Linked DNA regions of Arabidopsis thaliana. The protein of the gene in region 1 interacts with the protein of each later gene in a pairwise test. Each region holds a gene or a part of one and is shown in the gene's direction. Other genes may lie near its edges.

Region 1 (7,780 bases):
AATTTATTTATGTCTGCCAACTGCCCAGTTGATCTCATCCAACATAACAATAAAAATGAAATCAATGTACATTTGATGAATTCAATAAATAAATAATATCGATGTATATATATATGCACATGAAATGAAATGTATATCTTATTTCCGATTAAGAAAATGAGCAAACGATTCTAGTGGGCGCCGATGGTGAAAAAACCTGAAATTGATGAAAATATATACTACAATTGGTTCATGTACTTTGTCAAATAATAATAATTGGTTCATGTTCTAAAAACCAGACTGATCATATTCGTAGAATGCAATCATCAGTTCACCATATGTATATGATTCCTCATAAATCAACCTTCCATGGATTTATAGCAAAAAGAACAGTGTGTTTCTCTTTTAGTGTATTTTCATAAAAGACGTACCATAAATGAATAAATTGTGTCGTTATCAAAAAAACAAAAGTTTATAATCGTGGCTGTTTTATTTTTCCTTTTATAGTTGAAGGACATGTCTACTACAAAGCCATTAATAATATGAGGGCTCTTTTGCATTATTCAAGCCCTAAATGTGATCTCATTTAGTGAAAAAAAAGTGATCTCATTTATTATGTCATTAATGGCTCAAACCAAACACATATTAAACCTTTCATTTTCCAAACTAACAAATAAAGAAAAACAGATAGGCTTATACATTATACATGCATCACCCACATAGATTTAGATTATTAAAAATTTGAGGTTGACTGGTTTGAGCTGTGAATGTAATCTTTTATTTAATTTGGACTGTTTGTTGTTAGAATAATGGTTGGGACTTAAATTTTAAAGTCAACTAGTGATTTGAAAAAAAAACGAGGCTTAACAAGAATATTTAACTAGTTAATCTAGGGCTAACTTGTTAGTAAGAAATTTAAGAAATACGTTTAATACTTCATAACACTACAAGTGTGGATTGTTCATTTCACATCATAAAGTACTAAAACTTCAAATTAAGTGCCAAATGAATATCCTATGCATTTTTTTTTTGTAAAAAAATTAGATTGGTTCTATTGAGAATATGCATGCAATCTTTTGGTTACAGACCTCTAGTTAAAGGATTTTAATTAGTTCTTATTTTCTATTTAGAATTTGAATTAGTTTCATAAAACATATGCAGTGATCAGTTTATAAGGTCAAATCTCACCCTCAAAATACAAACATATTTCACGAGTTTGCCCAAAAAGAAAGAACTAGTATTTGACGCAAGTTTTCATTTTGAACCATTCGTAAGCTATAACTAGAAGATTAAATACGGTAGAATAATGAATGTATTATGGGAAAAATGTTAAAAAAATCGCCAACTTTTAAAAATGGGACAAAAAAATCGCCAACTCCTGAAATGTCATTTAAATCATATACTTTTGGTTGACTTTTCCAGAAAGATAATAAAGCAAAGATTCGTAATCAACAAAACTTTGCTCTGTTATCTTTCTAAAGAACTCAATCAAAAGTATGTGATTAAAACGACATTTCAGGAGTTGGTGATTTTTCATCCCATTTTTCAAAGTTGGCAATTTTTTTGACATTTTTTCCAATGTATTATTGAGTGTAGCTACATGAAGTATGAACCATTTATCTTGACATAGCATTGCGTACTTTGAAAATAATTTCTTTACTAATAAAAAAACCTACACTTTTTTTTATAATAAATTTTTTCACTCTGTTTAGAAACCATGAATTGGCTGCTCTAACGATTCAAGAGAAATTTCGGCCTACCTTCGAGTTGACTTTAGATTAAAAGTCAATCACAGGCCCAAAAGTAAGCCCATAACTAGGTCCAAATATCGAAGCCCATGAATAAACTTTTTCATCGAATCCTAAAGCTAAGCATCAAACCAAACATCCGATGATCTCTCCAAACTCATCAATCTGATCTATCTCTCTCTTCCAGCTGTTTCATGATCGATTTACTCTTAACTTACAGCTGATTACAATTCACTGTAATCTCTCAAGAACCCTAGATTCTTTTTTTTCCTTTTCAATTGTGATCCGTCAGGTATGTGAATTCGATTACTTTCTATATCAATTCAACGAATTCCAAAAGTCATGTTCGCGTATAAGCAATTTAACCTTGTCGATTTCTTTATATTTTCTCTGTATGTGTAGCAGCAATGCTTGATCTTTAAATTTACTGATATCTGAAGATCGAATTAGGGTTCTGATCTACTTGATATTTATTTGTTTGGGCTTTTATTCAGGTTAGTGTCTGTTTATTAAAACAATCGAATTATTCTGAGTTCATATCATTTCTTTGGATTGAAGATTTGAATTCCTTTTATAGCAGCTCGATCTTGGGCTGAAGCTATGGCTCAGAGTAATTGGGAAGCTGACAAGATGTAAGTTAATTTTGTATTCAATAAAAGCTTATTTTTTTTCAATTCCTTACTTTGATATCTTTGTGTTTTTGTAGGCTTGATGTTTACATATATGATTATTTGGTGAAGAAGAAACTTCATAATACTGCTAAGTCGTTTATGACTGAAGGGAAGGTTTCTCCTGATCCAGTTGGTAATATTACACTTTCTTTGTTCCACTTTGTTCTTTCTTAATTTTAAGTTTTGATATGTAATTGTTTTTTGTTGTGTGAATGATTAGCAATTGATGCACCTGGAGGGTTTCTTTTTGAGTGGTGGTCTGTGTTTTGGGACATTTTCATTGCAAGGACGAATGAGAAGCATTCAGAGGCTGCTGCAGCTTATATAGAGGTGAATGTCTTCTACTAACATCTGGGAATATGTTTTGTTAGTTTTGAATTACGTAACTGACCAGTGGTTTTGAAATTTTAGGCACAACAAGGTAAAGCGAAGGAGCAGCAAATGCAAATACAGCAACTGCAGATGATGCGCCAAGCTCAAATGCAGCGTAGGGACCCTAATCATCCTTCTCTTGGCGGTCCAATGAATGCTATTGGTTCTGAAGGGATGATTGGGCAGTCTAATGCTAGTGCTTTGGCTGCTAAAATGTACGAGGAACGCATGAAGCAGCCTAATCCTATGAATTCTGAGACATCCCAACCTCATCTTGATGCAAGGATGGCCCTTCTTAAATCAGCAACAAACCATCATGGGTAAATTGGCTCAGCTTCTTTTTTGCTGTCGTTTTTCTAGTCCTCATACCTCTGACCCCTTGTTGTCCTTTCTTTTTTTTTCTGTCCCTAAACAGTCAGATTGTCCAAGGAAACCATCAAGGAGGTGTTTCGGCAGCGCTGCAGCAAATTCAATCACGAACTCAGCAGCCCACTGTAACTACTACTCGAGCACCTTACTTTATACTGTTCAAATTTTCTAACAGACAAGTCTCCAATCAGATATTTTGGTGTACATCTGAATCTCTTGTACGTGCAGGAAATCAAAACTGAAGTTAATTTGGGTACATCTCCAAGACAACTGCCAGTGGATCCTTCTACAGTTTATGGCCAGGGAATTCTGCAATCAAAGCCTGGGATGGGGAGTGCAGGTAAATATATCAATGTATTGCATTGTAGAGTAATCGCTCACCGAAAAGAAAATGGTGGTAAAATACGTGGTAGTATGCCTTCTATGGCAATTAGTTGACTATGGACTCCAAAATTTAAATATTACTTCCCTGTTATGTGCAAAATCATGATGAATTACATAGGGTGATATGCTAATGGCATCACGAGAATCTTTTGCTTACAATTTGTATAAATTCTTATGGTGTTGTGTTTGTCCCTTGTGAAGGATTAAACCCTGGAGTGAGTGGTCTTCCTTTAAAGGGATGGCCATTAACTGTAAGTCTCTGTGGTTCTTCTAAGAATTTATTTGTTTGTCATTCCAAGCCCAGTATTTTGCTAAGTTTCTTGACAAATGTTACAGGGCATCGAGCAGATGCGACCAGGTTTAGGAGGCCCTCAGGTTCAGAAATCTTTTCTACAAAATCAAAGTCAATTTCAGCTCTCGCCGCAGCAGCAACAACATCAGATGTTGGCTCAGGTTCAAGCGCAAGGAAATATGACTAATTCACCCATGTATGGTGGTGACATGGACCCTCGAAGATTTACAGGATTACCTAGAGGAAACCTTAATCCGAAAGATGGCCAACAAAATGCAAATGATGGATCTATAGGGTCCCCCATGCAGTCAAGTTCGTCAAAGGTAAGACTTTCTCAAATTACCAATAAATGCATATCCCTGTTGGATGCAGTGGAATCTGTTGAGCTGCATTATATCATCTTTTTCGGGTAGCAGAGAAAAAATGAAGCATCTCATTTTTTCTGTGTTCCGTTAAGTGGTGTAATTGGATCATTACGTCTGTCCTTCTATGCATTTTTTCTGATAATTGCTCGTCTATGCTTTAAAATTGTACTCTTTTGGGTTATCGTCTGACTGCTATACTTTCCATTTGGAAAATGTGTAAGGTAATGTGTTTGTGTTATCCTAATGTAGATCTACATAGGTATCAGAATTTTGTTTTTTCTTGTTAACCACATGAACCCAATAATAGAGAAAACTTATCCGCAATTAGTAGCTGATTACTACCAAACATGGGGACTTTACTGCTAAAATTTTATCAATCACATTTTTTTCTTCTGATTTTCTCTCTTTCCGTTGCTTGTTGGTCTATAGCATATCAGCATGCCGCCAGTACAGCAATCTTCTTCTCAGCAACAAGATCACTTACTATCCCAGCAATCACAACAGGTACTTTTATGTGGATCCAATCCCTCAAGTCTTATCAAGCATGTGGTTTTAACCAACTGAATATATTCTTTAGTGTCTGAGATGATTGAGCCACAACTTCCTTTTCGTGTATCTGATAGAACAACCGCAAAAGAAAAGGGCCTTCCTCTTCTGGTCCTGCTAACAGCACAGGGACAGGAAACACTGTTGGCCCATCCAACTCACAGCCATCGACTCCGTCAACGCATACCCCTGTTGATGGAGTTGCTATAGCTGGTAACATGCACCATGTGAATAGCATGCCAAAAGGGCCAATGATGTATGGTTCTGATGGGATCGGTGGTCTTGCATCATCAGCAAATCAACTGGTATGTTTCTTAATTTCTCAGAAGAATGATAACGACAATCTAGTTTTCCTCCAATAACATCTGGATACAGCATGCAGTTGTGTTGTGTGAAACAAGTGCTTTCTTAGCAGCTTGAATATTTTTTTTATATCCCATGGGGCCGTGTTTCTTTCAGCTTTCTTATGACAAGAATTAATAGCTGCAGGATGACATGGACCAGTTTGGAGATGTGGGAGCTCTAGAAGATAATGTAGAATCATTTTTGTCCCAAGATGATGGAGACGGAGGAAGCTTGTTTGGCACCCTAAAGCGGAACTCTTCTGTGCATACCGAAACCTCAAAGCGTATTCTAACACCCCAAGGATAAGTATGATACAAGTAGACGATATAAATATATACTAACACGGTCCTTTTTCTCGTTTCAGCTTTCAGTTTCAATGAGGTTAGTTGTATAAGAAAAAGTGCCAGTAAGGTCATTTGCTGTAGCTTCTCATATGATGGGAAGTTGTTGGCTAGCGCTGGACATGATAAGAAGGTGCAACTTCTTAATTTCTGAGATACGGTTTGCTTATAAACTTGTCATGGCCCTAAAACAGCTATAGATCATTTATAGGTAGGTAACATTTTGTTTGTTTAAAAACAGATAATGTGGATGCAAATTTATTTTTGTCAGTAGGTATTTATATGGAACATGGAAACACTACAAGTTGAGAGCACTCCGGAAGAACATGCTCATATCATCACAGATGTTCGCTTCAGACCGAATTCAACTCAACTGGCAACGTCATCATTCGACAAAACAATCAAAATCTGGGATGCTTCTGATGTATACTAATTTAATTTGTTTCTCTTTTATTTGTTGCAATTTTTCGTGTTCTGCTGTGACTAACTACTACCAATTTGTGCAGCCTGGTTACTTCCTACGAACAATTTCTGGTCATGCTGCACCTGTTATGTCCATTGATTTTCATCCTAAGAAAACCGAGCTTTTATGCTCCTGTGATAGCAACAATGATATTCGCTTTTGGGACATAAACGCCTCTTGCGTTCGTGCTGTAAAGGCAAGCCCCTGACCTTTTGTATGGTTTCTCTGGGATGTGAACTCTGTTTGCTAATCGTTGAATTTTCCAAGCACAGGGGGCTAGCACGCAAGTACGTTTCCAGCCAAGAACAGGACAGTTTTTAGCTGCAGCGTCAGAAAATACTGTGTCAATTTTTGATATTGAAAATAATAACAAACGGGTCAACATTTTTAAGGTAGAGCTGAAGATGATATATTGATATTTTTGAATTCCCCGGGTCAATCCACATAAAAGACTAAAAGCTTTGTTTTTTACTTTTAATACTTTGAATCTTCAAAGTCCAGTGCATTTTTCTTGTTAGATGCATTGGGGCATATGTTTAGATGTCGTAAGTGTTGATCGTTACTCATGGCTTTATTTACTTTTGATCTGGCAGGGACATTCCTCAAATGTACATTCTGTTTGTTGGAGCCCAAACGGAGAGTTGGTGGCGTCTGTTAGTGAAGACGCTGTAAAATTATGGTCACTGAGTTCAGGAGATTGCATCCACGAGCTTAGCAACAGTGGAAACAAGTTCCACTCTGTTGTTTTTCACCCTAGCTATCCCGATCTCTTGGTCATCGGTGGCTATCAGGTATAACCTATATCCCCATTTCTCAAACAAATAATGTGTCAAACAATATCTAGTCTTATGTTCAAATGTGTGATGAGGTGAATGTGTCTCTCAGTTGTTTTAACTTTGGTAAACGAATCTGTGACAGGCTATAGAGCTGTGGAACACAATGGAGAACAAATGTATGACGGTAGCAGGCCACGAGTGTGTGATCTCTGCCTTGGCTCAGTCGCCTTCGACGGGAGTGGTTGCGTCTGCAAGTCATGACAAATCCGTAAAGATTTGGAAGTAGAAATATTTCTATGTTCGTCTGAAAAGAAAAGGAAAAAAGAAGAAATAGCAGAGAGCTCAGGACTTTTTTTGGGTCTAATTTTTTTTTTTTTTTTAATGTTACATTAATAAGTTGGTTTTTTTTTTAAATTGGGTTTGTTTATGTCAAAAGCAAAGAGACTTGTGATATTTCCAATCTTTGTCTAATGATCCTACTTCTTTACTTCGTTGTTTTGATCTCTAGTGTTTAGAGTGAAAGAGAGATGTAAGTAATTTCTCTAGACCAACTACATTGTTGAATAATAATTTCTTATAATCAGCCAAACGCTTGTTTTTAAGGTCTCTTTACGAATATCTTATAATGACACTGCATACATTAAGTTGGTTTAAGATGAATACAAAACTCTAAGCATGCACATTGAAAGTACTCGTACGTTAAAACTTAGGATTAAGGATGAGTTTATTATCTGCTTAGGCTTAAATTGTCTTTGTTCTGGGTTACTTATTGAACTTCTAATATAACCGCATCTTTCTTGAATGACTCTGCCTCTCTTTCAAAATTATTTGTTTCAGCATCACTGTAACATTTATTGTAAAAATAGTTTTTTTGGGTTTGAATAAATTTAACTTTCAACTCAAAAAAAAAGAAAAACTCGATATTATATATAGAAAACGGAAATGTGAAACATAAGGAGAAGTAAAAAGCACGGTTACGTTTGTGTTTGTTTACAATTTACAAACACGTCTAACTTGGAAAAACTAAAATAAATGTACTTTTTTTTTTTTGGTCTAAAATAAATGTACTTTTTTCTTAAACATGAACTTATTTTTTGTAACAGTTGAGTGGTTGAATGAATCATTAATT
Region 2 (3,201 bases), on another chromosome or scaffold:
GATGTAACTGTAGAACTCGCAACTTTTTGTTTTTTATGCTTGCATTAACTTACATGAAAATTTAGCTCTCTTAGACATAATAATAAACAATTAGTGTGCCTAAAATAAACTGATTACCGCAGACTTCAAGGATGACCCAGAGCTCTACGTCTTCCCCAAGCTGAAATATGTTGGACTCGAATTGTGGCAGGTAAATAAATCTTTGTCACTTTGAATGACCTTCGAAGATATGCTTTATTCCCATGACTCTCATCTAATACATGTTACTCTTCCAGGTGAAATCAGGATCATTGTTCGACAATGTCTTGATCTGCGATGACCCAGACTATGCCAAGAAGTTGGCAGATGAAACATGGGGAAAGCTCAAGGATGTAGGTGTTTAAAATACCCAATTTCATAACACAGTTTTTTTTTTTTTGTTTCTGGTTACTGATCAGAATATCCAATCTAATATCACATTGCAGGCGGAGAAAGCAGCTTTCGATGAGGCTGAGAAGAAGAATGAGGAAGAGGTAAATATCTCTCCTAATTATTTAGCTTAATTCATTTGAATCTCTCTAAAACAAGTAGTTTGGACTTTTGTGGAGTTTCTACTGCCAATTATGTAATTGTTGTAACCAAGTTGGGAATAGATAATCTAAGACGGCATTCTCCTTTTTCTGTGTTGATACAGGAATCCAAGGACGCACCTGCGGAATCTGATGTAAGCACTTGTGAAGGATCAAATTTTTTAGAGTCTTGTTTGTTTCTGTCAAGGTCCTAATATTATATGTGATATAAATTCCAGGCTGAAGACGAACCAGAGGATGATGAAGGAGGAGATGATTCCGATTCTGAATCTAAGGCCGAGGAGACCAAATCAGTAGATAGCGAGGAAACCTCTGAGAAAGACGCCACCGCTCATGTATGCTACCACAATATCACTTGGAGAAATTTCACTCATCCATAATTTTGTTGTTTTCCTTGAGTTGTGGTTAAAACTGCGTGATTTGGTTTTGCAGGATGAGCTATAGGTGAAAGGTTGAAGATTTGAAGACCAAAGTTTTCAGTCTCTTTATTGTTTTATCGTTTTCTTTTGAAGTATTTTAGCATCTAGTTTGTCGGAGATAGAAACAAGTTTTAGCAAAACTAAAAGGGGGATACAATGTCTGTCAGATGCTCATTTTAGACTTTAAAAAACCATGAAGAAGTTTTGCAGTTGCTTCTCTTTCTCTACTCTTGTTTCTCTGCTAAGCCAATGTCCGCCAAAATCGGATTCTGGTGTATTCGTTCACTGCTCCCCACCCTTTGAGAATTTGTTGTTAGTCTCTTGTCAGTCAATACAGACCACCAAGTCCATAATCCAACAGTCCAACGTCCCTGCAAGTTGATTGATACTAGAGTAGTAGTAATGTAGAATGTCTTTCACTTTCCAAACAATTTCCACATTGTCTATACACTTATACTGGGTTCACTTCCATTGTGAAGACAGATGTTGAGATAACAAAAATTATATAGAGATAATTGTACCCCAACCACAGATGCTTAGAACGCTAGAGAACGAATGCAGTGCAATCTTTGTTTTACCTTAACCTTAGACAGCAATATTTTAATTCATGATGTCATTCTCAAAAGATGAAGTCACAATCTTTATACAAAACAGCGTCCTAGCATATTGAGATGGTATTTAAGCCCAGAAAAAGCTGATTGAGAACCAAAAAAAGAAAAACAATTACGCAGGCCCTATTAAGTAATGGGCTTGGTTTTTTGGTAAAGATAATATATTTAGATTATTTCTTTTATTTCTATTGGTCTTCGTACCTTCACGCGGATCAGTGTTAGAAAAGAATGAAATCTGTCCGTAGAATTGTATTAATCTACGGTTGCTGTGATTTCACGCGGATCGTGATAGAAACCTCTTATATCCGTTGATTAAAAACCAATGAACGATCCAGATCTAATCCCGCTGAAAAAGAAAAGCGAAATATTTTCCCTCCCACTTCTTGTAATTTCCAGACGATAAATATCCCCTTCCTCAATCGAAACAAACTATCCAGATCTCAACTTTCTCTCATCTTCAAATTAAAATCAAACAGTTTCTTAATAACATTTTACTTCATGGCTCGTACCAAGCAGACGGCTAGGAAATCAACCGGAGGAAAGGCTCCAAGGAAGCAGCTGGCGACAAAAGCGGCGAGGAAATCTGCTCCGGCCACCGGAGGAGTGAAGAAGCCACACAGATTCAGACCCGGAACTGTTGCTTTAAGAGAAATCAGGAAGTACCAGAAGAGCACTGAGCTTCTTATCCGTAAACTCCCTTTCCAGAGGCTTGTCAGAGAGATCGCTCAGGACTTCAAAACCGATCTTCGTTTCCAGAGCAGTGCCGTCGCCGCTCTTCAGGAAGCTGCTGAAGCTTACCTCGTCGGACTCTTCGAAGACACCAATCTCTGCGCCATTCACGCCAAGAGGGTCACGATCATGCCCAAGGACATCCAGCTCGCGAGAAGAATCAGAGGAGAACGAGCTTAGATCTAAGTATTCTGGTTACTCTTGTGTTTTGATTAGAACCATAAGATTGTAAAATTTCAAGTTAAATCCAAGGGTTATAATATTAATTCCAAGCAATTATCTTTTGTTCTATCAAAGTATTGACTTTTTAGTTGACTTTATTAATCACTAATTGTTTGGTTAATTTGTGCTAGTTCACAACTCATTATAGTCTCACAAATTAATCAGCTTTGACGCTGAAATTGTTGTGAAGATCATTGTTAATTAGTTGTGATTCGATCGAAGATGAACTCCAATCTGCTATCGAATCCTATATCATCGGAGGTCTTCACCTCCATTGATTTGGGAACAAATTCTTTCAAGCTTCTAATAGTCCAAGCTGAGCCTTCCGGTAGATCTTTCGTTCCAATCGAGAGACTCAAAGAGCCAGTGGTGTTGTCTCGTGAATCTCCAACCTCAATTTCGTCTCAATCTCAGGCTCGCGCGCTTCAATCTCTACGGAAATTCAAAAGTTTAATTCTCTCGCACCACGTCTCTGGTGATAGGATCCGATGCGTTGCAACGGAAGCCTTACGGCGAGCCGAGAATCAGGAAGAGTTCGTGGATGCGGTTTTTGAGGATGTTGGGCTTAAGGTCGATGTGCTTTCTGGTGAAGAGGAAGCCAGGTTAGTTTATTTAGGCGTGCTTCAGTTTTTACCTGTGTTTGAGAAATCA

What was found.
Region 2: the proteins of LUH (region 1) and AT1G09200 interact in a two-hybrid assay, tested with the Arabidopsis thaliana proteins (one study listed by BioGRID).

What each region holds. Positions count from the first base shown.
Region 1 is NC_003071.7:13,864,908-13,872,687, forward strand, and holds LUH (LEUNIG-like protein), read left to right. Parts: upstream 1-1,864; 5' UTR 1,865-2,019; exon of another isoform or gene 2,020-2,132; 5' UTR 2,133-2,221; intron 2,222-2,304; 5' UTR 2,305-2,327; coding exon 2,328-2,359; intron 2,360-2,433; coding exon 2,434-2,531; intron 2,532-2,618; coding exon 2,619-2,728; intron 2,729-2,809; coding exon 2,810-3,090; intron 3,091-3,185; coding exon 3,186-3,264; intron 3,265-3,367; coding exon 3,368-3,536; intron 3,537-3,724; coding exon 3,725-3,774; intron 3,775-3,859; coding exon 3,860-4,138; intron 4,139-4,609; coding exon 4,610-4,684; intron 4,685-4,803; coding exon 4,804-5,031; intron 5,032-5,209; coding exon 5,210-5,354; intron 5,355-5,435; coding exon 5,436-5,545; intron 5,546-5,686; coding exon 5,687-5,836; intron 5,837-5,918; coding exon 5,919-6,071; intron 6,072-6,147; coding exon 6,148-6,267; intron 6,268-6,468; coding exon 6,469-6,666; intron 6,667-6,793; coding exon 6,794-6,937; 3' UTR 6,938-7,250; and 1 more. UniProt on the Arabidopsis thaliana protein: Transcription repressor subunit of the SEU-SLK1 and SEU-SLK2 transcriptional corepressor of abiotic stress (e.g. salt and osmotic stress) response genes, by means of an epigenetic process involving histone modification (e.g.
Region 2 is NC_003070.9:2,971,029-2,974,229, reverse strand, and holds AT1G09200 (Histone superfamily protein), read left to right. Parts: upstream 1-1,895; 5' UTR 1,896-2,097; coding exon 2,098-2,508; 3' UTR 2,509-2,659; downstream 2,660-3,201. Other genes in the region: CRT1b (calreticulin 1b), read left to right, coding at 123-190, 276-371, 465-512, 674-703, 788-904, 1,002-1,013; AT1G09195 (Ppx-GppA phosphatase), read left to right, coding at 2,773-3,201. UniProt on the Arabidopsis thaliana protein: Core component of nucleosome. Nucleosomes wrap and compact DNA into chromatin, limiting DNA accessibility to the cellular machineries which require DNA as a template.